2 linked regions of the Coturnix japonica genome follow. The protein of the gene in region 1 purifies or fractionates together with the protein of each later gene. This does not show direct contact. Links are inferred from orthologs where the notes say so. Each region holds a gene or a part of one and is shown on either strand. Other genes may lie near its edges. The genes, in order: SHPRH and RAD18.

What was found.
Region 2: the proteins of SHPRH (region 1) and RAD18 purify together in Homo sapiens (affinity purification with western blotting; 3 studies listed by BioGRID and IntAct, with this or other methods). This does not show direct contact. The link is inferred for Coturnix japonica from reciprocal best matches to the Homo sapiens genes SHPRH and RAD18.

Annotation. Positions count from the first base shown.
Region 1 is NC_029518.1:41,934,681-41,945,494, forward strand, and holds the start of SHPRH (E3 ubiquitin-protein ligase SHPRH), read right to left. Parts: upstream 6,992-10,814; 5' UTR 6,884-6,991; intron 5,553-6,883; 5' UTR 5,521-5,552; coding exon 4,879-5,520; intron 4,412-4,878; coding exon 4,282-4,411; intron 4,273-4,281; exon of another isoform or gene 3,682-4,272; coding exon of another isoform or gene 3,600-3,681; intron 2,518-3,599; coding exon 2,299-2,517; intron 1,673-2,298; coding exon 1,594-1,672; intron 256-1,593; coding exon 105-255; intron 1-104. UniProt on the Homo sapiens protein: E3 ubiquitin-protein ligase involved in DNA repair.
Region 2 is NC_029527.1:16,629,693-16,639,839, forward strand, and holds part of RAD18 (E3 ubiquitin-protein ligase RAD18), read right to left. Parts: intron 9,763-10,147; coding exon 9,628-9,762; intron 6,378-9,627; coding exon 6,218-6,377; intron 1-6,217. UniProt on the Homo sapiens protein: E3 ubiquitin-protein ligase involved in postreplication repair of UV-damaged DNA. Postreplication repair functions in gap-filling of a daughter strand on replication of damaged DNA.

The sequences.
Region 1 (10,814 bases):
CTCAAGCAGAAAACAATGAACACAAGAGAAAAAAAAACAACCCAAAATTTCACTAATTCTGAAAAGTATTTTCTTTGTAATAAACACTCCCACAGTTTTCTCACCTCAGGTAATGTTAAATCATCTTGTTTAACGTCTTGTCGGGTATGAGTCAGAATAAGAGCCAACACTTCTACTGTTTTTCCAAGACCCATCTCATCTGCCAAAATACCTCCAGGCCACTGAGGTCCAGCGAATGGATATTCGCGGATAACACTGAAATTCAAGTATATTCCCAAGTGAAAAATCAGCAACAGAATGGTGTGACAGAAGCATGTTTTGAGACAAACACACAGTACAGCTTCAGTAAAGTGAAGTCACTAATAAATGATGCCACTCCTTGAAAAGCTGAGCTGATAAGAGCTAGCAAGCTTTTTGGATCTTCACACCTAATAGAGATGAATGCATATGCCATGTCTTTTTGCATTTTTCCCTCTGAACAGGCCTAACCATGATAAATTTAGTATATTATAGCACTAGTCTCTCCCTCTCTCTATGTTTATATTTACTTAAAAACCAAAAATTTACTGCAACAGCAAAAAAGCAAACTAGCAAGACTCTTTTCTAACCAAAGTAAAAGAGCTAACATGTAGGTTGCTCCAAAGGTAATGCCTCCTATTTGATTCCATGGAAAATGTAACCAATACAAAGAACACAATTACAGTATTTGATAGTGGAAATTTTCAGCCATAAACACTTTTTCAGCACTGTCACAACCCCACATTTCACCAGCCATGAAAAAGAACTTGCATGCAGCAGTTGCAAAAATCTGCACCAGCAAACCCACCACCTTACTGTGCTGACATCCACTGTTTGGCCTCCATTAGTGTCCAGCAAGCATCAATGAATGTCAATGGATGCAAGTTTTTCTGCACTGAGGAATTTAGTTCCATGCTTCATCTGCACTTCTGTGTCAGACACCATGTTGGCCAGACTGCCCCCTCTACTGCCATCTGTCACATGGCAACAACATTTAATCGAATGTTGGTGGGAAGTTCAACCTCTACAGTCACATAACGGGCCAACATAAAATAGGAAGCATTACTTTCAGAACAGCCCTCATAAATGCAACATCCAGCATTAATAGATGTTATCACACAGAATCACAGAATGACCTGGGTTGGAAGGGACCACAAGGATCATGAAGCTCCAAACCCCCTGCCTGGCAGGGCCACCAAACTTCCACATTTCCTAGATCATAAGGGCCAGGGCACCATCCAACCTGGCCTTAAACACCTCCAGGGATGGGGCATCCACAACGTCCTTGGGCAGCCTGTTCCAGGCATTATATTGCCTCCTTCTTTTAGCGTTTTGAAGCATCAAACATAAAGGCTGAAGACTCTAGCACTGTTTTCAAATTATAGCACTAATCTTGTAAATATACATCTGTACTGAAATTAAGACAAGCAGCTTTAAGAATTATGTCCTCAAGATTTACTTATGTGTTATATAAGCAAGTTTGCCTTTAAAAAATAATTAAATAATAATAATAATAAATAAATAAATATAAAATCCTTGGGGTGTTCTCAGAAATAGATAAGCACAAAAACATACCAGCCAGTAAAGGGATTATAGTAGATTTTTTCTCGATCCAGAGTGATGACTTCTCGCCATAAGAAATGCAGTGCATTTTCTATAGAGAAAGAGGTCATGTTACTATGACAAAGATTTCTCCGCAAACAGCACACTAATTAGAACCACTTAGCCATACAGTGACACTTAAACACAAAAGGCAGACATCTACCTTCACCACGCTTGGTGAGCAACAAGACCAAACAGCTGCAGCTCAAAGCAGGTTTATTTTCTCATCTACTGTACTACTGTATGGGAGACCGGTAATCACAGCGTGAACCACTGATTAATCAGCTGGGGCAAGTGTGGGGTCAGCTGCGGGAGCACAGGTAAGAGTAATGTAGCTGTGCTCCCAGGAGGGGTGGAGCTTGACTCCACCTCCTCTGAGACCTCATTTAAGGGCTGACCCTCACTGAGGCAGCATCTATTGGAGATCACTTGCTAGTGAAGATTGCCCTAGCTCCTTCAGCTGAAGTGTCATTATTGGTGAGTTCCTCTTTTACTTATATCTTCTGTACATTTGTTCCCACCCTTGTAGTTACCACCTATACAACTACCCAACAGCTTTTATAAAAATGGTAATAAAACAATTAAGAAAACTTCTAATGAAATAGCAATAAGACATTCCACTAACAATGCAATGCCATTTTCCTTGACTATACAAGTTTTCAAGTCCCATATACTTGCCACCACCTGGAGTGCTTGTGAAGTTCTCTCGGTGAAGCATCCAATTCACAGCTTCACTTTGGTATGGCCTTAGAATGGGAATTAAGGCAGGATGCTGCACATCCTCTCTCAGTAGTTGGACATCCTGCTGGTGTGTATGCCTTACAAAGTCATAAAGCTCTTCAATATTTTGCCGCTCTAGCTCCATGTCAGATTCTTCCTCATCTTCCTCCAACACATCTGCATACACAATAAATGCATTATCATTCACTTTTGGTCAACATTTCAGTAAGTTTTGCTGCAGCTTATCTAAATAGGAAATGAAAGCAAAACCTCTTCTAAATATAAGTCATGATTACACCTGACTAAGCTACCAGCAGTTTCCTAAAAGCTAATGTTAACACACTATAGCCATGACAGAGACATACATAACTGGTAAAGCTCTTCCCTTAAGCACCCCAGGGAGGTGGTTGAGTCACCATCCCTAGACGTGTTTAAAAACCATTCAGATGTGGTGCTCAGGGACATGATTTAGAAGAAGGTTGATAGAGTTAGGGTAGTATGGTTAGCTTGTGGTTGGACTTGATCATCTTTAAGGTCTTTTCCAACCTGAGCAATTCTATGATTCTATTCTATTCTTAGAATTCAGGAATAGCATGACTAAGTCTAATTTTACAAGCACCTTCTCCTAAACATTTTTACCTCATACGGGATCACAAATAACATACATTTCAGATTAAATCACATTTCAGATTAAATCATAGAGTTACTCAGATTGGAAAAGACCTCAAATATCATCAAGTCCATCAAGCAGTACCCTAAATGGGTTGGTCTTCTTAGAGAAAGAGAGGGGGGAAAATAACTGTGGGCAAAAGATTTGTACATTTTTCAAGAAATAAGCCCTTTCTTGATAAGAGAACATATCAAAAACATCAAGAAAAATCTACTCAATCAGCCTAAGTGTTACTTTTAAATTATTTGTCTGATCAAAAAAATGGCAACAGTGTGACAACATGCGAGTCTTACCCTTTGCATCACTGTAAGAAATCCAACAAATCATACTTCAGGAATTACAATCTAGCTTCAAGAGATGTACATCTAGAAGACTTAGAAAGGTCTTGTATTTCAAACAAAATCTGCATGTATGGGCATATGCAGAACTTCAGCACCGTAGAACAAATATTCATGAAAAAATTCAAGGGTCAAAATTTTAGGAAACTGAAGTAAGACCAAGCAACAAACGACTTAATGGACAAGTTCCAACTATGTTTTAGGTCTCAAATAAAAGAAATGGTACCAGTAAAACAGCTTTTAGTACTTACCCAGGAACAGCTGTACAACTCTGCAGTTCAAGGAAAGATACAAAGCCTCTCTAGAACTGGAGAGAAACCCACTGTGTAACATTCTTCTCAGAAAACTAAAATTAAACCATCTACAAGGACATGAACAGGATGGGTACACTGAGGAAAATAAGTACTTAAAAACAAAATGTAGGGATAAGGGCAGACATCTCCTTCATTTGTGTGTAAATCTATAATGCAATTTTCATTATAACGACTTCAGAATACAACTCCAACAAAAGTTTTGCCGCCAGAGTTGTTGTATTGGGCACTGACCTAGGAACAAATGGTTAAGGAGTTTAATTCCTCTCTTTTTTAAAACAGCTCCTATGTAACTTGGATGAGTCACCCTAAATCTAGTCAAACAATTCATAAGAATTAGTGAAAGTTACATTTACTCCCCAGACAGTAAGGTCTCAAGCTTCTATATGCCTCAGTGCCTTATGTGCAGAGAAGAAATGTTATTATGTATAACCATAAGTTAATTAATATATGATTAATGACCAGATATTAGCACAGGAAGACTAACAGTGAACAATATTACTAAAAACACAGCTGCTCTAGAGGACAGGAACAACTTAAAAACGTCCCTTACATTTACAATTATTAAAGTGACAGTTTTATACTTCAAATTATTCATCAACATTCAATAAAATCACATTACCTGGAATTATAAAACTATAGAACTTTTCCATGAGTTTTTGAACTAGCTGATTAGCTTTTTTGGGTCTTCCACCTCCATCACTGAGAAACTCTGGTTTACTTAGCCCTGCTTCCAGAAGGTAGATTCCAACCTAAGAAATGGTTATAAAATTAATCATTTAATAAATTAGCTGGACACCAAGAATATTATAAATAGAAGAACATGAAAATAATAGTGCTAACCTTAACTACCACATTGTCAAAATTAGCAGAAGCAAATAGGTACAATGAACTGACCAAACTAGCCTTGTGAAAGATACAAAATATCATAGCCAAAAGTTCCCTTGATTCCTTAAGTAATACATAAGTAGGAGTGCAACAGTAAAAGGTAGTTTTAGGGGAACAAAAAAAAAAAAAAAGACACATGAAAAACATCTGCAAAAGGATGTAGAAACCATATATCTCATCACATTATAAAAATACAATAGCTGCCAGACTTGTTAGTGGCTTTACTTTTATGTGTGTGTGTGTGTGTGTGCATGTGTGTACGCATATACGTATATGGTATATGTATATATATATAGTTCCAACCAATAAAAATGAATATAAGAATCAATACCTTTAGAGCTTGACCCTCTCCAGGTCTTTGATAAAGTCCAATTATCTTTTTATTTTGCAACCACCTCAAGCCTTCCAATATTTCACCACCTAAAGCTGGTTCCACCAAAACAATTTGCTCGTAAGCATCAAGGCATTCTTTTGCTCCATTACTGTACTCTTCTTCGCTTCTTTTATGGACACAGACCAGCAGGTGATTGTCAGAGTCTCCTCTGATTAACGTAAAGCTCCTTTCATGGAATTCCTCACTTGCAATTTGCTCAGAAGGAAGATAAAAAGTAAGTTCTCCCAATAAAACTTTCCAGGACCCATCCGCACGGTATGGCGAGACTACAATATTTAGCTGTACTGACATGGGAGTCGAGGTGGAATTAGAGTCTTCACCATCATTAGCTGTCAAAAACTTCTCAGATTTTGAATGACTGTCAGCTTTTTGAATGAGATCTTCATCAATGCTATCATCATTTATTACAAAGAAGGATGCAGAAGAAGTGCTGGGACCTGGAACATCATCCCCAGTAGTCAATTCATCATCTAATGTTATCAACTCATTTCTCCGGTCCTCATGCATGTTCCAACAGAGCAGTTTCTTTCCCGCCTCATCTATCTTTGATGGAGGTGCACGCTTTCGACGACTACTCATTTTGTCGTTTTTCTCAGCGGTATTTTCAGTCTCTGTGAGATAAATTAATATTAGTCAGTGATAAGTACTGCAAAATCAAACACCCGCATTAAAAGTTCACTGTGCAGGAACTGCTAAACTCTTTAGTACACTGTTTTACAGAGCATCTCCTGTTCCTACACAAAAAGAAACTGGACACCAAGCACTTTCTTCACAGTCTGTTTCATTCTGCCAGACAGTTACAGAGCAAGATCAACAAGAATGCTGCATTTCAAAGCTGTTACTGAGACTCTTGTGGGACAGATATAAAAACAGAAGCACTGGAATCTCTCAATGGTAGGGGTGGTGGGAGACAGTAAAAGTGACATCATAAACAAGCAGGCAGGGTGAACAGGAGATTTGGAGGCGGGAGTGGGGAGAAGGCACATATTTTTCCTTTTCCTTCAAAAATTACATGGGAAGTACACTTGAAGCAAACTCAGCAGAGGGCTTTGTCTCCAGCCTATAGTTTAGAGCCCAAATGCTCAAATTCTGTCCTTAGAAATCCTTAATGGCATTCCTAGAAGTATCAAAGACTCGACCTCCCCATAAACCTGTACATCTTGAGACCTGAATATACAAATTGCTTGCAGCACAGCACTTACTTATTCCACATGCATTTCAGTGGGACCAATAAGCAAAGTAAACACATATCCTTACTGATTCTGACTAACCACAAAGTTAAATCCAGGTACTCCTCCAACTTGGGCACTAAACACATTTTTTAAACACACTTTCTTCAACAGTAAAGATAGAAAAATACTTAAGATATTCATGCCAACTCAACTTCTGCATATGACTGTAAATAAAACAGGGACACAACTGCTGATGAAGCATTGGATGATGCGGATCTAACCTACTAACTCCAGTATTCCATACTCTAACGTTACAGGGTAATCCCAAGAAAAACAAACAAACCACCTGACTTTTGACAAACCTATAAAAACCAAACATTCGTCGTTTGAAATAGAGGGTTTCCTTATGAGCTACTTCAACAATTGCTGCGTCTGAATTTCAAACGTAGGAGAATTAAGGTTAGAAAACACCTCATGTTTTTCCATCATAGCACTCAGGCGCGACGAGAGAGTTGCTGACACTTAGAAATCAAGCCCCAAGAGGTAACATCTATCAGAACCGAAGCAGGAAGATTCCAGCCATCAGTGCGGCTCCTTCACACCGGATATTCCCCAGATGGTCCGGCCCCCCCCGCCCTCAGAGCCCAATAGGCCCGTTCCCTAGAGGCCGCCAGGAGGGCCCCCCGCCGGGCGCTACGCGAAGCCAGGCGGACTTTTCCCACAGCGGGGACTCGGAAGGGCCCCCGGAGCGCAGCCACCAACCAACGCACCGCAGGGTGAGGCGGCGTTCCGCCCTCTCGCGAAGCTCCTTCCCCGCTCACAGCAGGGCCGTGCGACCAACGTCCGGCACAGGAAGACCGGGGAGGGGAGGGGAAAGGGGAGGAACAAAAGGTACTGTCTGCCTTCACCCCGTCGGTTTCGTCTCCCGCGAAGGGGGAGGAGAAAGGGGAGGAGGGGAGGGACGCTCCAGCCTACAGTGAGGTAGGAACGACCCCGAACGGGGGGGAGGTGGGCACGGCCTGCCGGGCAACCAATGGAATCCGCTGACGGTGACAGCTCGGCCCGCTTCGCACACGGACGTAGCCGGCAGCGTGATAGCGCCGAGGCTGAGCAAGCGCAGTCGGCCCCCGCTGGGTAAAGGGGCGGGGAGTGTGGTGTTTGCCCACAGAGGGGCGGGGACGAGGATGAGGCCTGCGGGGCGGAGTGCGCAGGCTTACGGGGGAGGGAGCATTGCTAATGGGGCTGATAGATTTTCCTTAAGTGGTTGTTATTATTTCTGCAGGAACTAGGAGCATGTTCATCTTCTTCTGAAATAAGCAGATCCACGCGTGTGCTTGTGAGGGCTGTAAATAAAGACATTGGAAAGTCATTTAAAATCAGAGCTTCTTTTCCTTTTATTAGCTGCTCGGCCCATTTGCTAGTCTACAAATGAAGCCAACTGGATTGTTTTTGTGGCTGGTTCTCCACTGTTCCCAGCCGTAGTGCTCCTGTGCTGCCCAGCCCTGGGTAGGCAGCACAGAAGGAGCATTTGGGATGCTTGCACCCTTGTGGCAGCAGGTTGACTGCTTTATTCCCCTGTGCATGGGTTGCTGTGTGGCCACTAGATGCTCCTGCATGAAAACTAGCTTTGAAATCATCACTTAATCACATTTTACAACTGTAAATTGACAGTGAAATGGGCAGCTACTTCATACTCCTCATTATACGTTTGTAACCAGAGTAAGATAGCAAGGGAGACAAAGAGGAAATAACCTGCTGGGAACATTACTTCTAACAGCTGAAAATAGAGATGTCAGAGCTGCCTGTGCTTCTGTCAGGGCAGGGCCTGCAGCCCACCTTGTCCCCCCCCACTCACCAGCAGTATGGCACCAGGGGGCTGGGGTGGGCTGAGGCCTTGGCATGGGCTTGCAGTGGGGCAGGGCTGTGGGCAGCTGTAGCCCAGCCCTGCTGTCACCTTGATGGGGACAAGAATTAGTGGCCGCAGTCTGATGTGGGGGTTCTGTTAGTCTGAAAAGTTGAAAGTTTGGATAATTACAAGTGCAACTCACCACAGTACCCATGTACAGGGCTGTAGCCCAGACCTGTGAATAATGAGTGTGAACCTGCCTTCACATGGGGCCTGGGCATTGCCACACACATTGTTGGCTCAGAGTTGCCTTGGGAGCCTTTCTGTCTTTTCATGACCAAAAGGTCTCATTAGATGATCTTTTTTAGTTTTTACTTTTAAATGGAGGGCTTGGTCTTCTGGATGTGCCTCTTTGGGAGTTAGCTGCTGACTCAGTAAGTGAGAGAACGAGCAATTACCACTCTATGCTTCCTTAGGAATTTCTGAAGCTGCCATGTTTCACTCCCACATCCTGGCAAGCAGCCATATGCCTGGATAGACTGTTCCCACCAAGGGATGACACCCAGGATCACACTTTAAGTTGTTAACATCAGGTTTTCCAGTTCTTAAGTGGTTCTCTTCAGTGAAAGGAGCTCAAGCAGTTAGAGAACTGCTCCCTTAATGGCTACTGAAGTGCATGGGCCACAGAAGTGTTGTACTGTCAGTCTGGGACTGGGGAGATTTCCTCAGACCTGAGACTCCTCATACAAGGTTTCTGCACCTGCTGCTGGCATGAGAGACTGGGACCCACTGTGGGTGCTGCTCGTCCTCCTCCACTTGATGAAATCTGGATTACACCAGCGCTGGGAAATGGGAAAGAGAAGGGAAACCTTCCAGATGGAATAAACCCTCTTTTCTTTAGCCCCTAACCAAAGGTACGTGCGAATACATGAAATATATAATTTATTCAGTTTACTGTGGATCATTTGCCCTTTTATTTTGAGTTTGGTTGGCTCCGAAGTTTTGTCTCTGATTTAGCATTAGTAGTATCGTGCTACCTGACTGTCTAGTTGTTGAGATTAGAAACCAGAGGTTACTCCAGGTCTGTACCCTTATAAAGACAATGCAGAGGCATTCACAACAAGGAGGGGCAAAATATGTTTCAGGATACTTCTCATGCTGAAGGTCAGTCCTGCTTAAATGCAAACTGGCTGCATCTCCTTCTTAAAGGCTTCAGGTACAATATAGGCTGTGGCACTTGGCCAGGAACTGGCCTGTATCCACTGGCTTGTCTGATAGAGACTATTTGTGTGCAGCCTAAAGGGCTACCTGTAAGGATCCATAACTGCTGTCAAATCTAATCCTAAGGCTAGTAACAGGAAAGTGTTATTAATATCTACAACTAGCTATAAAGCTAACAATGAACACTGCTATGCCTTATGCTATTATAAATCTGCAAAGCCTTCTTGAACATGATGGATCTATCCTGCCAACTCATAGTTTTGCAATTCAGGATTTTCAGCCATCCAAAAGCTCTTTGTTAAGTTAATTTTTTTTAATTTCTGAAGGAACTGTAAACTTTTGGCATGGGCTTCTCTTCTGCATCCAGCAGGTGATGAATCATCCAGAGAAATTTTCCTAGTCTCCTTCATACTGAAAAACCCAATAAAGATTCTAGCAGTATCCATTTACCTAGCCCTTACTCTAGCTCTCCCAGGACATGATGACCATCAAAACTTAAAATCCTTCCCACAAAAAGTGCAAAGAATGCTTTTTTCACTTAGATTTCTCTGACAGAAATATATGGCAGCACAAACAGTAGCAGACAGAAATGCTTAAACCAAAAGATCACACCAGATTCTCTGTAAGAATTTTCTTTAGGAAAAAAAAAAATAAGAAAAAATAAGCCACGCACAAAAATCACAGATTGCAGTCAAGTCAGTCACCCATTATTAGAAACTCCTCAAACAGCATACACTTTAAGAATCCATGTAGAAATAGCAGACAACAATCTGTGCTTCAGCAGGCTTTGTTCACAGGCTAACAGCTGTGAATCTCTTAGTTCTCATCATTTAATTAACTGTTGTATTTCTCTATTATGCATTTCTTCTCCAGGCTTTGTATTTGTGCTTTGGTTTGCTGGGCATTTTTTTTTGCGCTTTTTGGTTTTCTTTTGTTTGTTAATGATTGTGTTTTTTAAAGACTATAAATAAAAAGCACTTGTGAAAGTGAACTTCATTTATCACCTTGTCTGGGTGTCATCATAAAATTAGTAAGCAAGAGTAACCTTTCTGCTTTCAAAAAAGGGGAAAATACAGTGCGCCAAGAGGGTGCCTGTTATGCATTAGGATTTCTTCCAAAGTCTCTGTTTTTCTATCAATCCCATTCTGTAGGAAATAGCTTCACTCTCAGGATAAACGAGCTCTATTTTGAAATAAGGGTCAAGAACAAGTGGAAGAATGCCCATTTGTATTCAGCAACTAAGAACTAAGGATTCCAGTGATTAGTACCTAGTAATTTCCCTCCTGTTCTATAGAACATGAATGCATGAAAGAAGATAATTGCCATTTAATTTAATGAAATAGAAAGGAACAGTATGAAGAGAGGAAAACGTGACATAAAAGAAGACTGTGTGGGGTTTTTTGACCACATCTGAGAACACAGACTTTCTTCTTTGTGGAAACAAATTCCACTTTGCTCTCAATATCAACTCCTGTTTTCCAGAAGGAGTAAGCAAATAAAAGCAGCGAACGTGCAACTTTGTAAGAATTTTCTTTTTTGAGGGTGGATGGAAAACAACATGGTAGTCAACATACAATATTTTAGAGTTCTATATACTGATATTTTAATTGAAAAAGCAAGCAGAAGTTTTCTAA
Region 2 (10,147 bases), on another chromosome or scaffold:
ACGAAGGCAATTAAAATTAAAAGGAGTAACTGCACTTATAGGGAACAGTGTTTAATCTCTGCACCAATTACCAATCCCACCACTCACAGCACCTGGAGGAGTGAGCACAGCCCAAATCCCAGCACCAGACGTGGGTGCTTTGAGGGTATGTCAGGGAACCCCAGCACGCCCAGGGATTTCTTACTGCATTACTACACATGAAATGCTCAAAGGAAAAACCACAGGAAAGCACGCTGTAAAAACAATGGTGATGGGGTAAGCTGAGAAGTCTAGCAGGTTTATTTTTACTCTCAAAATGTGCACTGTCAAGAATTCATCTCCAGCACACAAGCTGGATGCCCAGGGAATGAGTTATCTTACTTCTGAATCCTGCCCTCTACTCCAGTTACATTGAAAGAAAAAGCAGTAGGAAGACATTAGCGTTTGGTTCCCTAAAATAGAAAAAGAACAGGTTTGATGACTGAACATCATGTACTTTATTGCCCTGAAAAATCTATTCTTATTATCATTAATCACCAACTGTTTGTCACAAGCGAAATAATAAAAGTGAGAAGATTTGGCTAGCACTCAGCACAATAATGCACATTCATAATTTGCATGCATATTTCTAAGTTTATGCCCACCAAACTATTTTAAAACCAGGCCCAAAAAGTGCTGGAGTTACTTACCACCTCAAAACGTGCCTGCATAAGAGAACTGGATACCAACACAAGAAAGGTCTGAGCCCTACACAAACCAAGTCAACTCCTGCACTTCCATTGTACGGAGAGATGAAGGACACTGCACCTGAGTGTACACACAGACCTCAGGGCTATGAGCTCCCCAGACATGGCCAAACTGCCCTTTGTTTCAGCATTCCTTCAAACACAGCCATCATTCCAAGGCAGTCACTCACTAAGATAGTTCCCTATATCTAGTCTGTGTTAAACATCAGCTTCTTCAACAAAGATCAAGCCACGTCTTGATGCTGAGCTGCTGTGATTACACACTTCATACTATTTTCCACGTGTGGGGAGAAAAAAACAACTCTAAATGGATAACTGCAAAACAACTATCAAAAAACCTTTTCCAGCTCTTTATTGAAATGCTGACTATTAAACCAAAAGGGATACTGACCAACTGAGTTCAAATTTTTAAACAATTTTGTTTTGTGGAAAGCTTCCAATATCTCCTTATTGTTGAACAACCTGCATTTAAACTGAAGAAAATGAACGAAATTGAAAAGAAACAGCTACCTCGATCTGCATGCTGGTTTTACACATTTCAGTGTACAGTTTTACTCGTTCCTTCGGATGCTTCTGCCTTCCCAGTACAGCCAGCAGGCACACAAAGGCCAGGCAAGGCACAACACATCTTCAGGCTTCATTTGGGCTCCAAATCCAAGACAATTACCTACAAGAAGTCTTTTGTCCTTCCCTTTAAGGAAGATTATTCTTCCTATCTTACATTGAGAATTCCAGATCAGTAAATTCACACAGCAAAACCAGTAAAGCTCTGAGATGTAAGTGCTTGTGGTGTGGAGGGCTGAGGAGCACAGTGAGGGCATGAAGGATTCCGCTGCAGCACCCACTGCTCCTGCAGGCTGAGGGTCAGCTTCCTCGGGGCACTTACAGGCAGTCAGGAGCGAACTGTTCCTTCCTCCATCATCAGCTGAATTTTACTCCCCCTCGCCCTTTGTTAGTGATGTTTCGGTTTTGTTTTGCTCCTTAAAAGATAAACACCACCATAAAAATAGAGAGAAGAAAGCTGACGTAAGTGTGAATAACATGTCTCATTCTAAAAATGAAAGGAGTAAACATCTCTCTGAACATGTTTGCTTTATGGCAAATTAAGTTCCCTCTTGGCTGCCCAACGAGCAGTGCCCTTTCATCAGCCCATCCTGCCCTGCACTCCGGCACATGCACAGAGCAGTTCTCGCTGTTAGCACCAAGTGAGACTCTCACTTCACCAGCACCATTTGAAGGCGAATACCCAGCCACAAGGAGTGCTTGCTCCCATTCCAGACGCCAGCCTGCCTGTGACAAACAGCCCTAGCATGCAGGGCATCAGGCAGACAAGGCAACATTGAGTGCTGGTCCCCTCACTTGTTTTCAGGGCTCAAAGGTGCCCAAAACCACAGCTGCAGCTGATGCTCTGGCACCTCTCCTATGCAGGCACTGTTCTCTGCACAAACCAGAGGCCAGCAGCTGGCCCCTTTGGAAATGGCCTCTCTAGGACTCCACCCACAGCCCCTGCAGCTCTGTGTCCATACACTACAGCTCACAGTTGTTGGAACAAAGGTATGAATTAATAGCAGAGAAGCAACATCATCCTTATGCAATGGACTCACATTTCAGCCAAAAAACAAGCAAACAAACAAACAAACAAACAAAAAAATCAAAGACAAAACGCTCCCATCTAACATTTGATGTGCACCACAGCAGCACAAGATTCATTAACTCAGAACTGAACTACAGAACTGAAAAGAAACAGCTACTGCCCCTGGTCTCACACACTGCCTCATGCCAGAGAAAACCAGCCCAGGACCAGGACAGCATCCTGGTTATCCCTATCTGCAGTGCCAGGAAGTCCCCCCACAGCTCTCCCGGACACCCTGCACTGCCAGCTCTGACAAAACCATGTCTGTGAGAAGCATCCAGGGGATGCTGCCATCCAGCACCCTACAGACTGCAACCAGAGCATACTATGCCCTCTCCAGCTCATGAACTAAAGCTCAACTTCTGCAAAGCACCTAAAGCCAAAGCAAGTGACCAGCTAAAAGCAGACCTTCTTCCTGATCAATAGCTGTCAAGCACAATGCCAAGAAGTCCCACTTAGTGCAAACGAGTGTCCTGGCTTGGGCAAGGAGCTCAGCTGGCAGTGCTGCAGTAGCTCCGTGTATCCCGGAGGCAGAGATTTACACAAGCTGCAGATACAGCACTTTTGAGTCAGTGTTTCAAAATTAAATCACCCTGTTTCACTGTACAATATAATACTGTTAGACGAGGCCAAAGATATATTGTCTGTGCTGCAAGTCCTCCACTCTGCTCCTCAAGAACTGATGCTCTCTTCTAACAGCAGTTTTAAACCGAAATAATTTGTTTAAATGACCGAATGTTATCTCAGTCTTATGGAGTACTTTTAATAAAATATTTCCTCTGTGTGGTTCATTAACTGGCTTATCACTGTCCCACCTACCTTCTTTTCTCATTTTTCTATTGTTCAAATTCTTGCATAAAGCTTGGCTTCAGTCCCAGAAAGTAAAAGAACACAGTGGGACTATTTATATGGAGCACTAAAGTTCCATGAAAGCTTTATATATGACTTCACAGCTTTGAAAAAATATCCTTTAAAAGTCAGGGCTTTGTCCCGCTGTTTATCTATTACGAGCATTTTGCCTCGTTGGTGGGATCATCAATTTCTGAAAAGACCAAACACGTCTGGATCGATGCTGCCCTCCCTACATGTTTTACCTCTTCTCCAGCAGGCATAGAGTTCTCCTGTCCTCATGTAGAGCAGTGACTTCTGAATAACATCAGCACTGTCATGAGTACAACAGATGTATGGATGTACTGTAGGTCCAACTGCTCCCTTAGTTGTATAAAATAGAAGGTTTATTGGTATTGGATTGAAAAGGGGTACAAGTTCTTGTGAAGGACAGCACGTAGGAATCACCAAATCACTTTCAGTGTAGTTAACAGAACAAAGAATTCAGCTCTCTGCCTTTGTGACTGGCTGTATTCCATTTGCTGCTCAAAATCCAAATTTTCTTTTGATGCATCACAGCATCAGGACTCCATATAAAAGTGTTCTCTACGTGCTTAAAAGTACAGCACGCACATTGAGACTCTCAAGTATATTTCAAGTTTTGACATTTCAATGTGAAATAAGATCCCCCTTGTCAGAGGATATCCTCTTATTATAAGAAAATGTAAGTCTCCGAAAATCGTATCTTGATGCAAAAGCACAATGCTATGGACCACCCCACTGTAAATCATTCTTTGTTTTCACGACACTTCAGAGAACATTAACTCCATGGCAGCCAGAGAGCGACACAACATATAAAAAATACACAAAAAAAAAAAACCCAGCACCACTGCAGTGAACTTCCTGACCAACACAGTCGCTAACTTGTAAGGTTACGCAAACTGCACTAAACTTAAACAAATATAAACATGCTGCATGTACAAAGCAGAGAGCATCTACAGAGCAAGAAAGCAAAGAGAAAAGTCCCAGAGAGATTCTGAAAAAGCAGTTCTGTGCTACAGAATTTGAAGTGAATAAGCCACAAAAAGTGTGTCTGTTGGCTTACGTTTGTTTTTTTTTTAAAGAGTTCCAAATATCTGAGACATACAGACTGGTCTTTGCAGCTGTGAGATTCTATATTTGAGTCAAGAAATCTATGGAAATACTTAATTTGGAGAGAGTGAATACATGCAAAGAAGTAACAAACAGCTTCGTTCTGAGCCAGACATGACGCAAACAAACATGTGCTTTCCAACAGTATCTGCCAGCTTGCTTCGTGAAAGCACATTCAAACCATCAGTAGCAGCTACATGCTGATACCCTACAGCAAACTGCCTCTTCAACACACTTTCATCCAGACTTGAGAATAATAAACATAAGTCTGCAGACACAGAAAGGTACAGAATGAGAATGTAACTGTGATGCCAAAGGCCACAGGAGGGTCACTCAGGGTATTATTTATATACCTAGTTGGCAGAGGAGCAGATTTAATGATTCCTTGGATGAGCCAATGAAAGGAAAACTTTCTCACTCTGTCAATTGAAAATTCGAGATCTTCCAGGGTGTTTAATGCTAAAAGGAGAGCGTGCAGTCAAAAAAGAAAAAATAAATTTAAAAAAAAAGGAAAAAAAGAGTGAAACAAGAACAGGAATATCTCATTCAAGTTCTGGATAAGAAATCACCTGGAGGGCATTTATTTTGTGCAGCTGCTATCACCAGAGCCCCAGGGACAGGTGCCTTGCAGACACAGGGGGGAGGAAGCAGCTCCATGTGCCATCTGCACACATGTCCAATATGACACCTGAAACTGGAGAGCTTCTGCCTGGGCTCCCATCTACTTTGCTACACAACCAAAGCACAGACCCAGGCACCACACAGCTCCCAGCAGCACCTGCCAGCAGCACAACAGTCAGTGCCAAAGCTGCCAGTTGCAAAGTTGAGGTTTTAGCACATGAAAACAGCCTGAGGAACAAGGCACCACATCAGCTCCTTCCTTCCAAGTAAGGGTCCAGGAGTTGCTCCTCCAGGCCAAGCCATCCTCAGAACAGGTCATGCATAGAGCACCTCCAGGAAGCTCCTGCACCCAAACAGCACAGGCATGGAGATGCTCTCAGGGTGCCAGTCCTGCCAGCACAAGGCTCAATTCTCTGGTGCACCAAACAGGCCAGGATGTGTACCAGAAAACTAGTTATCCCACTCAACCACTTTCCCTTTCCCTCTAGAAGCTGAGCCTACAACACCCAGTACTGAAAAAGACGTTTATCTTAGCATGAATCATCTTCAACAATCGATAGAGCAGTACCTAGCAAATTGTGATCTATGAAGCATGTGTTTTCAACAGACACAAACTCCATCTTCAAAAACTATGCAGGTAGATCTTGAAGCAGTAGAAGCTGAGGCTCTTTTCAATAACACCAGCACTGAAGTACCAAAACATTTATAAAACCTTCCTCGATTCTTCATTTCCTGTGACCAAATAAAGCCACTTCAGTAAGCAAAACTAAATGAATTAAGAAGGAAAAGTAAATGGATGTCAGGACTTCAAGGTTCAATGACATTCTATCCCTGCCTGAAAGTAATGGGTCATTTAAATTCTATTTCTCATAGCAACACTCGGCTCCAAGAACCATTAAAAGATTTAGGCAATATCAATTTTTGTTTGAAGATTTATTTAAAGAGATGATGCAGTAAGAGAAACATCAGACATTCTCCTGGTCCCACAGCCATTTCACTCACTTTTCTGTACAAAAAGGAACATTTCTACTACAGTGCTTCTATCAACCCATTACTAAGCTATTAAGAGAATCTGAATGCATCCTGCAAGCAGCTGAACAGACAGAAACGTGGAAGAGAAGGAATGAATAACCACAGCTGAGAATCACCTCCTACAACGCAGAGTATAAATACAAATGGCCCAGTATCCATGCCAAAGTTTCTTCACTTTGGTCTAATGGAGTAATGAGAACAGACTAACTAGACTAACCGTGCTAACCTGCTCGATGATCCGGATGAGACTGAGGATGCAAGAGAGACCGAGCCCTGGCCTTCCTCTGAGGAATGAGGGTCACTTCTTTTGCCATCAGGAGATCCTGGTTTGAGTTCCTGGGCTTCTCCAAGGACTGAAGCCGAATGATGCTCTTCAAGATCTTCCCCTATCAAGAAAAACAATATCACTTATTTTTTTGCTGCCTGAAGACAGACTTTAAGAGAAACAAAAGGTGTAAAGCATTTGTATACTGACACCTCATTCCTACTCACTTCCCAAACTCTCACAGCTTCAAAAGGTTTTTTTTTTTTGTTTTTCATGTTGTTTTTTTGTTTTTTTTTTAAACTACAGCAGAAAAAGAGCCAACAGCAACAAAAAAGCGGAAACAACAACAAACAATCCCTAAGAACCAGAGCCTGAAACAGAAATATTCCCTTGTTATGAGTCTCAAATAGAAACAAGGAGAGAAATAAAGGGTAAGGTTATTTGTCACATTTCAGAAATTAGCAAACACTTAATGAGACAGCTCCATCCTCCGGTTCTTGCAGCCAATTCACTTCACTCATTGCATAAGACATCTTGATAGCTTCAGTTTCACAGATCGAGATAATAGGCTTGTTTTCAATAAAAGAAACATAATGATTTATTTTCTTTTGCATGCAAGAAAGATGATATGTCAGAATAGATCATCAGCATTTCCGTTCACTCTTATAGGAAAGAACATTTCTAGACAATGGAAACGAATTGTAAAGCCATCTATTATTTTCCTATCAAATATTTTCATCTATTAGAAGATGAACAGTTCTCTCAAGAGATGCCTCCTACATCACCACATAGGTAGTAAATATAGACTAGGAAGTATGATACAAAAAGAAAACTTGCTTTTATGCGCTGCCCACAAGTACTTTCAAATGAGTTATTTAAGCAGGAAGCTGCAAGGGATATTAAAGCCATACTGAGACTTGTTAATAATTCAAGGCAGTTCACAGAGGTGTTTTCTCTGCACCCACGCCTCCCAAATTATATTCCTGCTCAAAACACTTCCACTTTAGTACCTCTACAGGGATTTTTGACAGAACTGGCCAAACAGAACCATAGCCACAATGTGGAAAAGCTACACAATCTATGAATTGTGCTCGAGTTTGCCCTTTCCCCTATGCTAAAGGGCATATTTAATTGTCAGGAGCATATTTCTGTCGGTTGAAAACAACCAGCAGATTACAGTGAGTCAGCTGTCTAACTAATGCAGCATTACTGACATCAGGAGATTAAAAATAAAGGTCCAATACAATAACACAGCTCAAAATAGATGCATCAAAAGTATTTATCAATTTCTTACAGTACTTCCACTGAGCAGTGCAAAATCCTACATTCATCAGTTATAAAAACAAAAACAAAAAAATAATTAAATTTCCTGTCTAAGTTTGAAGATGTGAAATAAGATCACGTGAATTAAGAAGGGATGATTAAAACATTATGACAGAGCAAGATTTTGAGAGAGAAATAAGTTACATCCATTAATACTACAGTTAAAGGCAATGGGAGATATTAAGGTTTAAAAAATAATGTTTTAATTCTGCATAGTTCCAGGATCTACCATCTATCTCTTTCAGACTCTGAAGAAGTGGGTAAGGAATGCATACAAAGCCTTTGCTCTTCTTGGAAGTAACGTTTTCCAACAGCAAGTCATCAGACCAGTGCCGGCTTTCTTTCTTTCAAAGTTATAATCTCCAATTTAATAAAAAGGTACGTGCTGTTAATAACAAACATGGAAGAAGAAAAGGCCTGAGCCTTCCGTTCCTTCACCCGAAATCTTCATGCTTTCCTTGCTTTTCTCAGCAGCTTAATAAACAGCCAACTAGGTACATCTGTTCAGCACAAAATGAGAAACTAATTTCAAGGATTATTCGCATGCAAAATTTCAAAGACTACAGAAAGCACAAGAAGAGTAACAAATCTTTCAAAGATATGCCAGACCCAGATGAGGGCGTGTCATCTGCTTAAGCCAACCCAATACAGGATGATACGGCTCTTGCAAGTTACTTTCTGCCTGAGCACTCTTGGAAAAGCTGCATGGCTTTACTTAGGTTCTCAAAGCCTGCAGTTCAGGGCACAAGGAAAAAGAAACTCAGGAGCCAATCTCTCCACTGATGATAGCAAGAAATTAATATTTCAGTCTGTGATCCCATTATCTAGTAGCACATTGCTTCTGTCTCTGCTATAGAAGAGGGACACCACTGTAAGTTACATCAAATGAGTCAAGCTTCATCCTAGAGATTCCTTACCTTTTACCTTTCATATGGAAAAGATTGGGCATTGCATCAAGATCTGCATGAAATGATAAGGATAGAATTCATACTACTTCACTGACATTTCATTTCTTTTTATTCTCTGCTGGAGGTGACAGCACAGGAGACAGCCTCATACCAGAGAGGAACACAGCTCAACTCAGGCAGCACAGAGATGTGTGAGGGCTGCTACAAAATGATCTGCCATATTTCCCCAAGGAATACAGACAGCAGCACATCCAATTCTGGCCGATGGAATGCTCTTTGAAATTCAGCATCCTGAATACACCTTAATTCCACAAATATTAGCCCAATGACTGCTTTTCTGAATCACACATCCAAAACTGACCGCATGCTGCCACAGCAAACAATGCCATAAAACAAATGAGACTGAATAAGACTACAGGGAACAAGTTAAAAGCACATGGAGGTGTTTCTCTGATGCGGGCAGTGAGGACAACAAACATATGCTGGATGCTCCTCCTAACTCCAAGTATATCTGCTGAACTGAGTGTCTGCAGCTGTGCATTCCCACTTCTCACTGTGCTGAAGGATACGGATACAAAATGAAGCAAGTTAAAAAAAAGAAAAAAAAGGAAAAAAAAAAAAAAAAAGAGAGGTAAAGTACTGCACAAACATTCCACAAGAAGCCAAAGTACTTTACTCCTTCAACCTCAGGACAAAAAAAAAAAAATACACTTGCTCCAGCCCAAACATCTCCACAGTTCTGACTCCTTATCATGCTAATAATGCAGCAATGCAGGCAATACCCACAAGCACCTTCATTTATACCATGTGCCCATTACTAACTGGTACATGTGGCTCAGAACCTAATGCCCCATTTACATCTGCTAGGTAAAATATGCATCTGCAATACAGCGCACGTGTAAACAATCACATTAAAATCAAACAAATTGCACATTTACTGTGAGTTGTGCTTAAGAATCACACTAGAATCAATGGCAATCCATCTCTTCAAGGTCTGTTTGATTTCTATGTTTGTTTGTTTTAAGGTTAAGAACTGTGGGAGAAGAACAAGGGAAGGAAAGAACATTTCTGCAGGAAATGCACTGATCAACACAGGAGGCAGGAAGGTGGAGTGGGATTACATTAAACAGCACCACTAACCTGTGCCTGCTGGCAATCCTACGACAGTGCCTTCTTCTTTCTTTCTCATGTTTTTTGTTTTCCTCTTGCCACTCTTCTCCCACCGATTTTTTGCTTGATCCACTAAAAATTGAAATTCGCTTTTGTGTTTGTTTCCTGAAACATAAAAACGTGTTGCTGTACAGCCAGCAGGCAGAGCCCTGCCACAGAACTGCTGGGGCAAACCAGAAACAAGTGAAAAGAACACGGAATAAGCACAAAATACTGAATAAAAAACATTTTTGTTACAGTAAATGAAAATTAACCCACACTGCAGTGTTCCACATCCTGTTAACAACCCAAATCCATGCTTGTGCCCTCAGCAGCCAGAATATTTGCATAAACAAAATCTCAGATTTTTGCACCATAAAACTGTGTTTGTTTCCTCTTCACGTCACCACATTCCTGTTTGTTTGTTTCTCTAAACCCATTAATATTGGGATTGCCGTTGTAACAGCCTGTAACATGATGAAGATTTCAAGCTCCTTTTGGACATTGTAGC